Linked DNA regions of Saccharomyces cerevisiae S288C. The protein of the gene in region 2 interacts with the protein of the main gene of each other region in a biochemical or structural test. Each region holds a gene or a part of one and is shown on either strand. Other genes may lie near its edges.

The links.
Region 1: of the proteins of ULP2 (region 2) and CDC5, one has a biochemical effect on the other in vitro, tested with the Saccharomyces cerevisiae proteins (2 studies listed by BioGRID).

The regions. Positions count from the first base shown.
Region 1 is NC_001145.3:268,345-272,840, reverse strand, and holds CDC5 (polo kinase CDC5), read left to right. Parts: upstream 1-1,704; coding exon 1,705-3,822; downstream 3,823-4,496. Other genes in the region: MIX17 (Mix17p), read right to left, coding at 178-648; YMR001C-A (uncharacterized protein), read left to right, coding at 1,264-1,494. UniProt on the Saccharomyces cerevisiae protein: Protein kinase required for the cell cycle where it is involved in mitotic exit. A component of the fear (CDC14 early anaphase release) network which promotes CDC14 release from the nucleolus during early anaphase. Phosphorylates SCC1/MCD1 and NET1.
Region 2 is NC_001141.2:290,672-302,569, reverse strand, and holds ULP2 (SUMO protease ULP2), read right to left. Parts: upstream 9,938-11,898; coding exon 6,833-9,937; downstream 1-6,832. Other genes in the region: EMA17 (Ema17p), read left to right, coding at 1,313-1,741; E3 ubiquitin-protein ligase SSM4, read left to right, coding at 2,561-6,520; cAMP-dependent protein kinase regulatory subunit BCY1, read left to right, coding at 10,901-11,898. UniProt on the Saccharomyces cerevisiae protein: Insertion mutation in SMT4 confers temperature and benomyl sensitivity; high copy suppressor of a temperature sensitive mutation in MIF2.

The DNA.
Region 1 (4,496 bases), on a different chromosome or scaffold from region 2:
CCATATATATAAGACATTTAGTCCTTATTCCTTTCATTTTTTCTTGTTCTCACGTGGAGTATGCGATTCTGTGAAAAACCATCAAAAAAAAATAAGTCAAATGACATGGTTAAAACAAGAACATTACCGAAATGTATGATTTTAGTGAATATTTTCTAAATTTTTGAGCTTTTAAACTTAGTATTGACGTGCAGCTTCCTGGCAGGCTTTTAGTTGCTGCAAGTAATAATCACATATCTGGAAGTTGCCGTTGTTTTCATCCAAACAACGTGTAAAGTTTCTCGCGTCTATTTCACAAGTTCTTCCCAACTGCTGGTCCGTTTGGGTTTGGCCGGAGGTGTTGGCCATATTTTGCTGTTGTTGCTCAACAGGAGCGGAATCAGACCCGGATCCGGAAAACATACCGGTAATACCTGCACCTAGGGTGTGTCCAATGGTGCTACCAACGGCAACACCTGCAGCAGTGGAGGCCATCTGCGCAAACATACCTGGCTGTCTCGTTTGGGCACCTGCAGCAGGAGGGTGTGAATAGGCATTTGGTTGTTGTTGTTGTTGTGGATGAACTGGAGCCGCCATGGTAGAAGCGGACCTTGTCTGAGTAGGTCTCGATCTCGATATAGGTCTTGATGATCCTCTTGAACGTGCCATATTTTAGAATTTTGTTGCTGTTGTTGCTTTTCTTGTTCTGTTCTTTGTTCGAAATATTAATCCTTTTTCTTAAAGGTTATAAACTGTACGAGTGATAGGCTTATATAGGTCGCGGAGATTGCGGTGGAGTGAAAAAGCGCTTTTCTTTTATACCTTTGTTCAAGGTGGCGTTTGCCGTATAAAAGCACACATGACATAACCGAACCTCGGAAAATGAAGTTGCACTGTTATTGCCTTCCAGATGTGTAGAATCATCACCATCTTCTGTGATAAATGAAGAGGGAATCGTACGAGGACGCCAGCATATTTTTACATCAAAATTTATGTTATTGTTGAAGGAACATTGAAAAGATAGGGCGGGCAAAATCTGCGATCAAGCCTATCCTCTTTCATCTCAGCTGTTCTAGATGCGTTACCCGGTGGTAACTTCACTGCATATTATTACTTTATATACCTTATTCTATATGTTGCCCGGGTAGGGCATTATGTAGCATCACCCGGAAGAACTTTTGGACTTTTCTCTGTCAAAAGATATTACCTAAAAGGGTCAAAACAAAACAAACCCAATAAAGAAAATCCAAAATATAGAACGAATAAATATCTCGAGGACCTGGGATGATCTTTGAATGTACATCCTTTGAAACAAGGCATATCTTGAACAGTTACTCTTGTGCTACTCAACTTTCGTACAATACATATAGAATCACTGAGAAAGTAAATCCAATTCAAGCGGCAGTTTCAAAGAACAATAAGCCTTTTGTGTCAAATTCTGATTCTGCTTTTTTTCCTATTTTTTCATCCTTCAATTTTGTGGCATATACTACATTAACTTTCAAGAAAACTTAAAAAAGAAAAGACAAAAAAGCTAAACTGCATAGTCAAGTTTGTATAATTGAGCTGAGTATTATTTTTTGTACACAAAAACATTGGCTTTCTTATATCTTCTCTATATATACTCTCTTTCATTCATCGATAAACGTTACATTTGTTATTCATAGAGAATAAAAATCACAGCCGTGGAGAAGAAAGAACAGAGTAAGATCAAGTCGAATAAAGATGTCGTTGGGTCCTCTTAAAGCTATCAATGATAAGCAATTGAATACCCGTTCCAAGTTAGTTCACACCCCAATAAAGGGAAATACCGCAGACCTCGTAGGAAAAGAAAATCACTTTAAACAAACAAAGAGACTAGATCCGAATAATGATCATCACCACCAGCCAGCTCAAAAAAAGAAAAGGGAAAAGTTATCAGCTTTGTGTAAAACACCACCTTCATTAATCAAAACAAGAGGAAAAGACTATCACCGAGGTCATTTTTTAGGTGAAGGTGGATTTGCTCGCTGTTTCCAAATTAAGGACGATTCAGGCGAAATTTTTGCTGCCAAAACAGTTGCTAAAGCCTCAATTAAATCAGAGAAGACAAGAAAAAAGTTGTTGTCGGAGATTCAAATTCATAAAAGTATGTCCCATCCAAATATCGTTCAGTTTATTGATTGTTTTGAGGATGATAGCAATGTCTATATCTTATTGGAGATATGCCCCAACGGTTCATTAATGGAATTACTAAAAAGAAGAAAAGTTTTAACAGAACCAGAAGTTAGATTTTTCACCACTCAAATATGTGGTGCAATTAAGTATATGCATTCAAGAAGAGTTATACATAGAGATTTAAAACTTGGTAACATCTTCTTCGATTCAAACTATAACTTAAAGATTGGTGACTTCGGTCTGGCAGCTGTGTTGGCGAATGAAAGTGAACGTAAATACACCATATGCGGAACACCTAATTACATCGCACCTGAAGTGTTGATGGGTAAGCATTCTGGACATTCATTTGAAGTAGATATTTGGTCATTAGGTGTTATGCTTTATGCTTTGTTGATTGGTAAGCCACCCTTCCAAGCAAGAGATGTAAACACTATTTATGAAAGAATCAAATGTCGTGATTTTTCGTTTCCAAGAGATAAACCAATCTCAGATGAAGGTAAGATTTTAATAAGAGACATTCTATCCTTAGATCCAATAGAAAGGCCCTCTTTGACTGAAATTATGGATTATGTATGGTTTAGGGGAACTTTCCCACCATCTATTCCTTCGACGGTCATGTCAGAAGCACCAAATTTTGAGGATATTCCTGAAGAGCAGTCACTGGTTAACTTCAAAGATTGCATGGAAAAATCTCTACTATTAGAAAGCATGAGCAGCGATAAAATTCAGCGTCAAAAGAGGGATTATATTTCTTCAATTAAATCTAGTATCGATAAACTAGAAGAGTACCACCAAAACAGACCATTTTTACCACATTCTTTATCCCCTGGCGGGACGAAACAGAAATATAAGGAGGTTGTTGATATAGAGGCACAAAGAAGATTAAACGATTTGGCTCGTGAAGCAAGGATACGTAGAGCACAACAGGCCGTTTTGAGAAAAGAATTAATAGCTACATCGACCAATGTCATTAAATCAGAAATCTCCTTGAGAATATTAGCCAGTGAGTGTCATCTTACTTTGAATGGCATTGTAGAAGCAGAAGCTCAGTATAAAATGGGAGGTCTTCCGAAATCAAGATTGCCTAAAATTAAACACCCAATGATAGTTACCAAGTGGGTCGACTACTCCAACAAACACGGATTCTCCTATCAGTTATCAACAGAGGATATTGGTGTCTTATTTAATAATGGCACCACAGTTCTCCGATTGGCAGATGCAGAAGAGTTTTGGTATATTAGTTATGACGATCGGGAAGGTTGGGTAGCAAGTCATTATTTATTGAGCGAAAAACCACGAGAGCTAAGTAGACATTTAGAAGTAGTTGATTTTTTTGCCAAGTACATGAAGGCAAATTTGAGCCGAGTATCTACGTTTGGCAGAGAAGAATATCATAAAGATGATGTATTTTTGAGAAGATACACAAGGTATAAACCATTTGTTATGTTTGAACTAAGTGATGGTACTTTCCAGTTCAATTTCAAAGATCATCATAAAATGGCAATATCCGACGGAGGTAAATTGGTGACCTACATTTCTCCCTCCCATGAAAGCACCACATATCCCTTAGTTGAAGTACTAAAATATGGCGAGATCCCAGGATATCCAGAAAGTAACTTTAGAGAGAAACTAACTTTGATAAAGGAAGGTTTGAAGCAGAAGTCCACAATTGTTACCGTAGATTAAACCAATATTAAAGTAGAAAGAAATACGAATACGAAATTACCAGTCCATTGATTGGGCCCCATTAATAACTAATACTAAATAAAATAAATGGTCTTGCCCTTAACGAAGATAATATATAATATTTACCCCTAGCATTAATACCCTTTTTCTAAAGGTACGAAATGAACAAACATCTTTCATGTTAGTTCTTCCTTTTCAATAGTTCTCATATAGCGTTTTTTTTCGCCTGAGCGGTTCTAGAGCTATATCTATTCAAAATTGCCATGCTTTTGTATTCATATTGTATGTATGGGATGATAACCTGTCGCTTCCTGAGATTTTCTCAAAAATATTGTTTTGAACCTAGATTTCTTTTTAATTATTCTTACAGGTGCCCATTGGAAGAGTGACAACATTAATTTTGAAAGCTATTCACTTGGTACATCCGCGGTTTACCAATTTTTAAGTTTTATCAAAAGCTGGCTTACTTGACATGTATCTACAAACTTAAGAATACTATTATGGGCAGTTATTTGCTAATTCTTTGTTACCTAGTTAAAATCCAAAAAATCCTGATTTATATTCATTTTATTACTGTATTCCTTTTTTCAAGGCGGGAGAAACTTATACCGCCATAGTAAAATAAATAGTGACTAAGGTAGCCAGAACTTCTCATCAACAAATTGCGAAATTAA
Region 2 (11,898 bases):
CCCAAATGACCAATTGACTAACCAATCACCACACACACCCGCAGCTGTGTTGCGTGCGACGTTACCCAATGTTATGGTAATGGCTTGCTATATACTGACTCGTTCAGGTGAATAGAGAAAACCCGTATCACCGTAAACCCATCAGTGACCGTTTTAATTACCACAGCTGTTGCTAGCGAGTAAAAACCCTTTTCACCACTGGTATATAATATGTTCATCGTAAACAACCAATTGGCAACTATCCGGGAGGTCACGGCTGCGCTGCATACTTTTAAAACAGCTTGACGTGGATTAGACCAATTCACCATACGTTTGGAAAACATACTGGCCATTATCCAAGGTGTAAGTATAACGTCAAAGCTGCAATCAACTGTAGAATCTCTTCCTAACACATTTCTATATAACGCAACCAACATTATCATTGGAAATGGCATACAAACAACGCGTCTGAATAACCTTGCATCGTCCATGTTATTGCCTTTTCTACACCACGCAGCACCTCTTTAATGCAGCAGCCGTCACTATTTGCATTGACGCATGTCTTCATCCTTGAATGCCTGGCGATAGTATAGGTAAATTAGTTAAATACAGCTTTGAGTAATTAGGCATGTACTTCCTCTGATTTAGTGACAGGTTCAATTGTTAAAGTATTCCCATTAGGCCAAGTTAAAAAGCGAAATTTATTTTGTTTTACAGATTTCCATTGAGTTTTTATGCCTAAGGGCGTGTTTTTTCAGCTCGTAAAATCATGAAGTTGTAGCACGCTGGCTCACCATGACAATTCCAATGGTGCGGTTCAATCAATTCACTGAGGTAGAATGGTGGACCATGATATTCAGAAATAGGTAAGTCCTGAGGTAATGATTAGGATTTAACTGTTGACTCTATTATAAGGTATACAGAATATACTGGCATAAAACAAGGATCATTAACACGCTAAACAGGGTGTTGTTTAATATCATGAATGCGCAAATAAGCCCTTTTTGCTGCAGCAAACTTTATGTACCAAGATCTTAAAGGGACTCGTTACCAAGATGCGAGTGAGTAGTCTATTATTAGAGAGTAGATCAGCTTCCGCCGCTTCCTTTTTTAACGGGAAAAAAAGTAGAAGCTGGGACAACTTTTTCGCTGCCAATAATAATTAAAAAGAAGGACCCTTTTTTCATTATAGGTATATTTGTTAAATATTTCCATTCCTAAGACAATCAACAACGCAGTTATGCAAACCATCAAAGAGGGCAAATGAACTATTCCCGCTCTTCGTAAGGATGCTGTATTACCGCCGTTAGCCATCAGAATTACTATAAAAACAATGCGGTTAATTTTCATTGCGAAAATGCTTCAATATTCATTTCTACCATTTTCCCCGTTCAATCTTTTGAATTTTGATAATAGTATAAGCGTAAGCTGGTTTATAACATACTCAGTGATCGTTTCCATTTGGGGGTTTGCTGTGTGGATTGAAGGAGCATATAGGAATAAGATTAATCTACAGCTTCCAAGATGTACGAAGATAAAATGCTCCCGCTACAATACGAGAATAAAATCCCCCAAGTGGTTCAACTGTAAAAATTGGATGCATTTTTTCCTATTATACCTTTTTCTAACCGCTTCTAACTTAATTGTTCAATTGGCCTATTTTTCAAAAGAAATGTGTAGTCAGGGTATAAACGTTCCTGGAACGAAGAAACCAGGTAATAGAGTTTATTTATCGGTTATCATACTAATGGGGAACGGGTGATAGAACTTTTACCAATGAAAAGAAATCAGCAGGCCATAATTTGGCTTTATTAAAATTAATAACATTATGGTGCTGTTGCGTTTATTAAAACAGACTAAAGCTGTTGGAATGAAATTCTAATGTTATCTATTTAGTAGTAATAGCATCACATGCGGTGTAAGAGGATGGCGTAAATTATGAGAAGCTGTCATCGAGGTTAGAGGAAGCTGAAATACAAAAATTGATAATGTAATAGGAGAATGAAACATATAAAACGGAATGAGGAATAATCGTAATATTAGTATATAGAAATATAGATTCCATTATGAGGATTCCTAGATCCTCGAGGAGAACTTCTAGTATATTCCGTATACATAATATTATAAGCCTTTATCAACAATGGAACCCCCAACAATTATCTCAAAATTCACCCATATCTTAATTAGTAACATGAATAGTACTAAACAGATGATATTTTAAAGTTTCATTCCAACAAGCATCTTAAATGTGCTATTACTTCCTAAAATAAGTAGTTTTTCCAACGAAATAGCCTTGTTGGCGCAATCGGTAGCGCGTATGACTCTTAATCATAAGGTTAGGGGTTCGAGCCCCCTACAGGGCTATCTTTTTACCATTTTCAATTCAATAGAAAAATTAAATCATTAGAGACGGAAAACTGGTTGAAAACGCATCGATTGAGGACATTGAAAAGATGATTATGACCGATCTATGAAGCCATAAGATTACGTTAAGAATAGTTCTTTGTTACTGATTTCAAAAACTGTTTTTTTAGCCAAGAGTACCACTAATTGAATCAAAGAGACTAGAAGTGTGAAAGTCATGGATGTTGATTCTGACGTTAATGTCTCCAGGTTAAGAGATGAACTGCATAAGGTGGCAAACGAGGAAACAGATACCGCCACTTTCAATGATGATGCGCCATCCGGCGCCACCTGCCGTATTTGTCGTGGAGAAGCTACTGAGGACAATCCTCTTTTCCATCCTTGTAAATGCAGGGGCTCAATTAAATACATGCATGAATCCTGTCTGTTGGAATGGGTAGCTTCAAAAAATATAGACATTTCAAAACCAGGCGCGGATGTTAAATGTGACATCTGTCACTATCCCATTCAATTCAAAACGATATATGCGGAAAACATGCCCGAAAAGATACCTTTTTCTTTACTACTATCCAAGAGCATCTTGACATTTTTCGAAAAAGCTCGTTTGGCTTTAACGATTGGTTTGGCCGCTGTACTATATATTATCGGTGTTCCTTTGGTATGGAACATGTTTGGAAAATTATACACCATGATGCTAGATGGATCATCCCCTTATCCTGGTGATTTCCTAAAGAGTTTGATTTATGGTTATGATCAGTCAGCAACTCCAGAATTAACCACGAGAGCAATTTTTTACCAACTTTTACAAAACCATTCGTTTACGTCTTTACAATTTATTATGATAGTGATACTACATATAGCATTGTACTTTCAATACGATATGATAGTAAGAGAGGATGTTTTCAGTAAAATGGTTTTCCACAAGATAGGTCCAAGATTATCTCCCAAGGACTTGAAATCACGTTTGAAGGAAAGATTCCCCATGATGGATGATAGAATGGTTGAATATTTAGCGAGGGAAATGAGAGCTCATGACGAAAATCGTCAAGAGCAAGGTCATGATAGACTGAACATGCCAGCCGCAGCAGCAGATAATAATAATAATGTTATTAATCCCAGAAACGATAACGTTCCACCTCAGGATCCTAATGACCATCGGAATTTTGAAAACCTTCGCCACGTAGACGAATTAGATCATGATGAGGCTACGGAAGAGCACGAGAACAACGACTCTGACAATAGTTTACCATCAGGTGATGATTCGTCACGAATTTTACCGGGGTCTTCAAGTGACAACGAAGAAGATGAAGAAGCAGAGGGGCAACAGCAACAGCAGCAACCAGAAGAAGAGGCAGATTACCGTGATCATATAGAGCCCAATCCGATTGACATGTGGGCAAATCGTCGTGCGCAAAATGAATTTGATGACCTAATCGCTGCTCAACAGAACGCAATAAACAGGCCCAACGCTCCGGTTTTCATCCCACCACCTGCCCAAAACAGAGCTGGAAATGTCGATCAAGACGAACAAGACTTTGGCGCAGCTGTTGGTGTGCCACCAGCACAGGCTAACCCAGACGATCAAGGACAAGGCCCTCTAGTGATAAATCTCAAATTGAAATTGTTGAATGTCATTGCTTATTTCATAATTGCCGTAGTTTTCACCGCAATATACCTGGCAATTTCCTATTTGTTTCCAACTTTTATTGGGTTCGGTTTGTTGAAAATTTATTTTGGTATATTTAAGGTTATTTTGCGTGGGTTGTGCCATCTTTACTACTTGTCTGGCGCTCATATAGCTTACAATGGGCTGACGAAACTGGTCCCTAAAGTAGATGTCGCGATGAGTTGGATTTCAGACCACTTAATTCATGACATCATTTATCTTTACAACGGCTACACTGAAAACACCATGAAGCACTCAATTTTCATCAGAGCTTTACCTGCTTTAACGACGTATCTAACCTCAGTCAGTATCGTTTGTGCTTCATCCAATCTTGTCTCGAGGGGTTATGGCCGTGAGAACGGAATGAGCAACCCTACTAGAAGGCTGATTTTCCAGATTTTATTTGCACTCAAATGCACTTTCAAGGTGTTCACTTTATTTTTCATCGAATTGGCTGGATTCCCCATTCTAGCTGGTGTAATGCTAGATTTCTCATTATTTTGCCCAATCCTGGCATCCAATAGTCGGATGCTTTGGGTTCCTTCAATATGCGCAATATGGCCTCCATTTTCCCTTTTCGTATACTGGACGATTGGTACTCTCTACATGTATTGGTTTGCCAAATATATCGGAATGATTAGGAAAAATATCATTAGACCAGGTGTTCTATTCTTTATCAGATCTCCAGAAGATCCTAATATTAAGATCTTGCATGATAGTTTAATTCATCCGATGAGTATTCAATTATCAAGGCTTTGCTTATCCATGTTTATTTATGCGATTTTTATTGTCTTAGGTTTTGGCTTCCATACTAGAATTTTTTTCCCATTCATGCTCAAATCGAACTTATTATCCGTTCCTGAAGCTTATAAACCAACATCAATTATTTCATGGAAGTTCAATACAATTTTGCTAACTTTATATTTTACGAAGAGGATCCTGGAGTCTAGCTCTTACGTTAAACCCTTATTGGAAAGGTATTGGAAAACAATTTTTAAGTTATGTTCAAGAAAATTACGTTTATCATCCTTTATCTTAGGTAAAGATACCCCAACAGAGAGAGGCCATATTGTTTACCGCAATTTGTTTTACAAGTACATTGCTGCCAAGAATGCAGAATGGTCAAACCAAGAACTTTTCACTAAACCAAAGACTCTAGAACAAGCAGAAGAATTGTTTGGGCAAGTTCGTGACGTTCATGCTTATTTTGTCCCCGATGGCGTTTTAATGCGTGTTCCTTCTTCTGATATAGTATCCAGAAATTATGTACAAACAATGTTTGTCCCCGTTACAAAGGATGATAAGCTGTTGAAACCATTAGATTTGGAAAGAATTAAAGAGAGAAACAAACGTGCTGCTGGTGAATTTGGTTATTTAGACGAACAAAACACGGAATATGATCAATATTATATCGTTTACGTCCCTCCAGATTTCCGTTTACGCTATATGACATTGCTTGGCCTGGTTTGGTTATTTGCTTCCATTTTAATGCTTGGTGTTACATTTATTAGTCAAGCTTTAATAAACTTTGTTTGTAGTTTCGGCTTTCTTCCAGTCGTAAAGCTATTGTTAGGTGAAAGAAATAAGGTCTATGTTGCATGGAAGGAACTCTCTGACATTAGCTACTCCTATTTGAACATTTATTATGTCTGTGTCGGATCTGTTTGTTTATCCAAGATTGCTAAGGATATTCTTCATTTTACAGAAGGCCAAAACACTCTCGATGAACATGCCGTTGACGAAAACGAAGTAGAGGAAGTGGAACACGATATACCAGAGAGAGATATCAACAATGCCCCTGTTAATAATATCAATAATGTGGAAGAGGGTCAAGGAATTTTCATGGCCATCTTTAACAGTATATTTGATAGTATGTTGGTGAAGTATAACCTGATGGTGTTTATAGCTATCATGATTGCGGTTATTAGAACTATGGTTTCGTGGGTCGTCTTAACCGATGGTATACTAGCCTGTTACAATTATCTCACCATCAGAGTGTTTGGCAATTCTTCATACACTATTGGTAATTCCAAATGGTTTAAATATGACGAGAGTTTGTTATTCGTCGTTTGGATCATTTCGTCAATGGTCAATTTCGGAACCGGATATAAGTCATTGAAACTATTTTTCAGAAACAGAAATACTAGTAAATTGAACTTCTTGAAAACAATGGCTTTGGAACTGTTTAAACAAGGTTTCCTGCACATGGTAATTTACGTCTTGCCGATTATTATTTTATCCTTAGTATTTTTACGTGATGTTTCTACAAAGCAGATTATCGATATTAGCCATGGATCCAGGAGTTTCACTTTATCGCTTAACGAATCATTCCCAACATGGACAAGGATGCAAGATATTTATTTCGGACTACTGATAGCATTAGAGTCATTTACGTTCTTTTTCCAAGCAACTGTGCTGTTCATTCAATGGTTCAAAAGTACTGTACAGAATGTAAAAGACGAGGTTTACACTAAGGGTAGAGCTTTAGAAAATTTACCAGATGAAAGTTAAAGGCGTTTTCTTCCTTACATTTAAAATGAATGCTAGCATATTTACATATATATATCTACATTAAGTTATATGTTTTTCCACTGTTTTATTTCTTATTGTTAGAATTATAGAAAAAAAATTTTTGTAAAACATTTCATTAGAAAAATTTACCATTCTGAATACGAAAGAACAAAATAAAAAATATGCCTATTTATGTGAGTATGTATATTACTAGTTATTTTATTGCTGTTACTATTATTATGCGAGAATGTTAAAAAAATAAAAATAAAGAGGAAAAGAATAAAAAATATAAAACTATGCGTGCGAGTGCTTTCAAGGGTCTTCATCTTCCAAGAGTATAGGATTATCTCTGCCCTCATCCCAAACAGAATCTTGAGACTGGTTATTTTCATCTCCATAATTAGAGAGAAGTTGTGCATTTGATCCCTTGCTTGTCGCGCTGGTTCTTGGAATACCCCTAGTTGGACTACTAAATGCCACATCATCAATATCAACCAACTTTTCGTTCAGTTCTTTGTCAACATTTTGAAGTATTTTACCAAGACTGTCATTATTACCATTACTTTCCTGAGTGTTGTCATGATTTTTTTCCGCTACATTAGGTAGTGAACTACCAATTAAATTGACGTCCGAGTCATCCCTGTTAACAATACCACTAGTATTTTTACTTTCAGAATTCACTCCTAACCTCGAATCTTGTTCTGTATCTGAAATTACAATGTTGGTATTATTGGGACTAGATTGGCGTTCCATAGAATCAGTCGATAGAGATTGAACATGCGAGGAAAGTTGTGGGATTTTTTTGCTTGGGTAAATCCTTTTAGGTTTAGGCGACGGCATCATAATATCATGGGTGGATGACAGGGCTTGATCGTTTTTTATTGGTGACGAAACGCCTTCAAACTGCTTAGCCCTCGTCTTTAAAGACGGCCTTCCAAAGTATGGTGACGTAAATTCTTCTTGTTCAGTTTCATTCGCACTTTCTGATATGAAAGGAGATGAACTCTTTAAAATATTGTGACGTATGGGAGGAGAAACGGATGCTGTTTCTGGAGAAGCAGCGCGAACGGGATCTTCATTATCAGTTATTATTTCACCGGTGGGCTGTCGTACTACGGAATTATGCAACTCTGTCGGCTCTCTTTCTGTTGTTGAAATACTGGATGATCGTGAGCAGGGAGGTTCCGAGGTTAACTGCGCGTTATTATCTTTACTGCTTTGATCTATATTTTCAATGATTTGAATTTCTTCATCGTCATCGTCGTAATTTTCATTATTGTTGATATTGGTGCTTTTTTTCTCCTCCATTTGCATAACTTCTTCATATAAATTTTCTTTTTTCAGATAGCTGATGTAATTGAGTTGTAAGAGTTTTAGAGTATGCCTTAAATTCTTTCTCGCACTATTTCTTTCATTTTTATCAAAATATTTATTAATCATTTTTGCGGTGAAGTGCTTACTTTTAATCTTAGAATTCTTCCATACATCAATTGTTTCCACCGGATTTTCAAAAAATTTTCTAATATTCAAAATAACATGAACACCACAATCGCTCATATTAGGTTGTTGTGGAACTGGACACGTTTTCATTTTGATTTGTGTTTTATCCAGTTGAATTGAATATTTATCAAGTGCATAGGATATGAGAAATTCTTTTATTGGATCAATTTCTCTTGAATGAGTTTGCCTCAACGAGTCGAAAGTCAAAATATTAACCAGAGGATTATTTATAGAAATCTCATCGGAGTTGATGGCATCGTTTTTATCTTTGTTTTGATGAAAATCCAAGATCGCATCCAAGTTTGTTATAATGCAACTAAACCAATGATAACTTATGTTAATTGGTATAACAACGTACTTTTTAGAAAACAAATCAGTATTGTTAACCCACTTTTTTACATTAGAATAATAATCTGCTGGATTACTAATTAGTTTCGTGTAAAAAAAAGAGGACATTAAGTGAACTTGCTCTCTTTTGATAATTGACTTTTCAATAGATGATTCAATGTAAAATTTTGTAAAAAAATCCAAAATGCTATCATTAACCCAATCCTTATTGAAAAGACACTTGAAATCTTGATTTGTTATAGTATAGCTTGAACCATCGTTGAATTTGTAACAGAGGCTAGGTTTAAACAGTTCTGGTGTTTCAAATTCCGTAGTTGCATCATCAAATTCTGAATTTGAATTTGAGTTTGCTGGATCCGAAACATCTTTAAATCTATTTGAACGTCTTAGTTGTGAAACTGCGTGGGATTGTAAAGTTTCTGTCCCGTTAGTGTTGTAGAAATCTGAGGGTGAAATATTCGATTTTGGAACAGATATTGAATGCTCTTTTTTCCCAAGGCTGGCAATACGAGTCCTTTTTGTTAAGGATTGCAAACCATGAGGTTTGTTTGATAAGAAATGAGTATGAATTTGCGGACTTTCATCATCATTAGTAGAAAGTTTAGTTTTTTTAAGTCTTAAAGAGTCGAATGCATTTTTAGTGGAGTTTATTGCCCTTTCCATGTTCAATGAAGGTGATGACGAAGAAATAGGATGAATCAGATGTTTTAGTCTTTCCAAAATCTGCTCTTTATGATCTAAAATTTCGACTTTTATCGACGAAGAATATGACATCAACAGGAATCTTTTAATAGACTTTATTTTTTTATTTGAAGCGGAGCTTGCAGTGGACCATATCAAGATGTTCGTGTTAATGTTGATTGAAGAGTTATTCACGTCTAGTATCATCTTGACCTTTTTCAGATCTTTTAAAATTATAGCCATAAAAGAGTTCTTCTTATCTAAAATTATCAATTCAACATCATCAAGCAGATTAACTTGTGAATTGTAGATCACCGATTGTTGAAAATACAATGAAAATTTCGGATGATTATGATCTGAGACAAAAGTCATTATGCATGGTGCTTTATGCCGATAAATTCGCAATGTTTTCGAATCAACGCAAGAAAATTGGCCGTTCAAATTTAGTTTAGTGGAAATAATTGAGCCATTTGGAGAAGTGCTCGCTACTGCCGGTTCCGGTGAACCATTCCCCAGATTATTAGACATTTGGAACAAAAGACCATTGGAAGTGCTTTTGAGTGATGAGTGTCTTTTCAAAGGAGAGCTTTGCAAAGGTTCAAAATCTTGATCTGAACAGCCACTGTTGACGCCTTCACCTTCATCATTATTATCAACATCATTATCCGACAATTCGATCTGCCTCTTACTCTCGCTGTTCATACTCAAAACTGGTAAGAAATCCTTTGTAGAAGCATTGTTTAGATGATCAACGATTTTCGGATCCTTACGAAAAGTGTTATATCTTTTGGGCGGTAGAGAAGCAGAGGACCTTGGAGAGCTGGCACGAGAGCTGTTCAAGGTGTCTAGCGGTTTGAGACTATTAAACTTGCGTTTTCTGGCAGACATATATGTGGGGTTTGATGTGCAATAAACATAGATATACGTGTATTATTGCACCTGGGTATGGGGTATACTGTGTAGTGTCCTTTTATCCCGCTCTTTATTTCTCTCTCTAAGAAGAAACGAATACACTGTAATGTAATTGGTTGTGATGTTTTATCTCTCTCTGATGACGTGATATCTTTTATGTTGTTTCACGATGTTCTCTTATTGTATTGTATAATAGTTTCTCTTAGTAGGAAGATAGAAAAAGGACAAAGAAGGCAAAGAACCAAATGTCATTTCTAACGACACGGCACGTGATTACTGATCTGATAATAAATGAAACAAGCCATACGTGAGAAAGTAAAAAAAAAAAGGAGGAGGGAAAAGAATACGAGTGGAAAATATAAAGGACTTTATATACTTTTCAGATTAGCCGCCGACGATTTTACTTACTCAGCTTTTTTCTATCTTTCAAAACGCTCAAAAGAGGAGCATACGACTTCGGCGGCTAATCTTCACCCAAGAAAAAAAAAGCGCATGCCACCACGACGAGCGGAAAAAAACAAAGCACCCAATCACCACCCTTCCTTCTTTCTTCGTGTTATACCCGCCACTTTTGTTCTGCCTGATAATATATTGATTATACTGTGCTCGGATTCCGACCTCTTCTTTGTTGCAGAAGCCATAAGCTGAACTTATTGCATTTGCTCAAGTGCATTTATTATGGCGCCGCGCCGCCGCTCTCCAAAATTCTTGTCCTTCCTCGTTTTGCTGGCAAGGAGCAAAACGAAGAGGAAGGTAGAAAAGAGAAAATTTGAACAAACAGGGAAAAGGGAAAGAGAAAAAGGGACACTTTACGCTTTCCTCGACTAAGTCAAGCGATCGCTATCATCACATCCATTACACGCATTTCACGCATACATAAATAGGAAGATCATTTACAACAAGCAGATTATTTTCAAAAGACAACAGTAAGAATAAACGATGGTATCTTCTTTGCCCAAGGAATCGCAAGCCGAATTGCAACTGTTCCAGAACGAAATCAACGCCGCTAATCCGTCCGACTTTCTTCAGTTCTCCGCCAACTATTTCAATAAAAGGCTGGAACAACAGAGAGCGTTCCTCAAGGCCAGGGAGCCTGAATTTAAGGCAAAGAACATTGTTCTATTTCCGGAACCAGAGGAGTCATTTTCCAGACCTCAATCAGCTCAATCTCAATCAAGATCCAGATCGAGTGTTATGTTCAAATCCCCCTTTGTGAACGAGGACCCACACTCCAACGTGTTTAAAAGTGGGTTTAATTTAGACCCGCACGAACAGGACACTCACCAGCAAGCACAGGAAGAACAACAGCATACTAGAGAAAAGACATCAACTCCTCCACTCCCAATGCACTTCAACGCCCAAAGGCGTACTTCTGTTAGTGGTGAGACCTTACAACCAAACAATTTTGACGATTGGACTCCAGATCACTATAAGGAAAAGTCCGAGCAGCAATTGCAAAGACTGGAAAAATCGATCCGTAATAACTTTCTGTTCAACAAGCTGGATTCCGACTCAAAAAGGCTGGTCATAAATTGTCTGGAGGAGAAGTCCGTCCCCAAAGGTGCTACGATAATCAAGCAAGGTGACCAAGGGGACTACTTCTATGTCGTCGAAAAGGGTACTGTTGACTTCTACGTCAACGACAACAAGGTCAACTCTTCCGGGCCAGGCTCCAGTTTCGGGGAACTTGCTCTTATGTACAACAGCCCTCGTGCTGCCACCGTTGTAGCAACCTCCGACTGTTTGTTGTGGGCTCTAGACAGGCTCACCTTCAGAAAAATACTTTTGGGCAGCTCTTTCAAGAAGAGACTCATGTATGACGATCTTTTGAAGAGCATGCCAGTTTTGAAGAGTTTGACTACGTACGACCGTGCCAAACTTGCCGATGCACTGGATACCAAGATCTACCAGCCGGGTGAAACAATCATTCGCGAGGG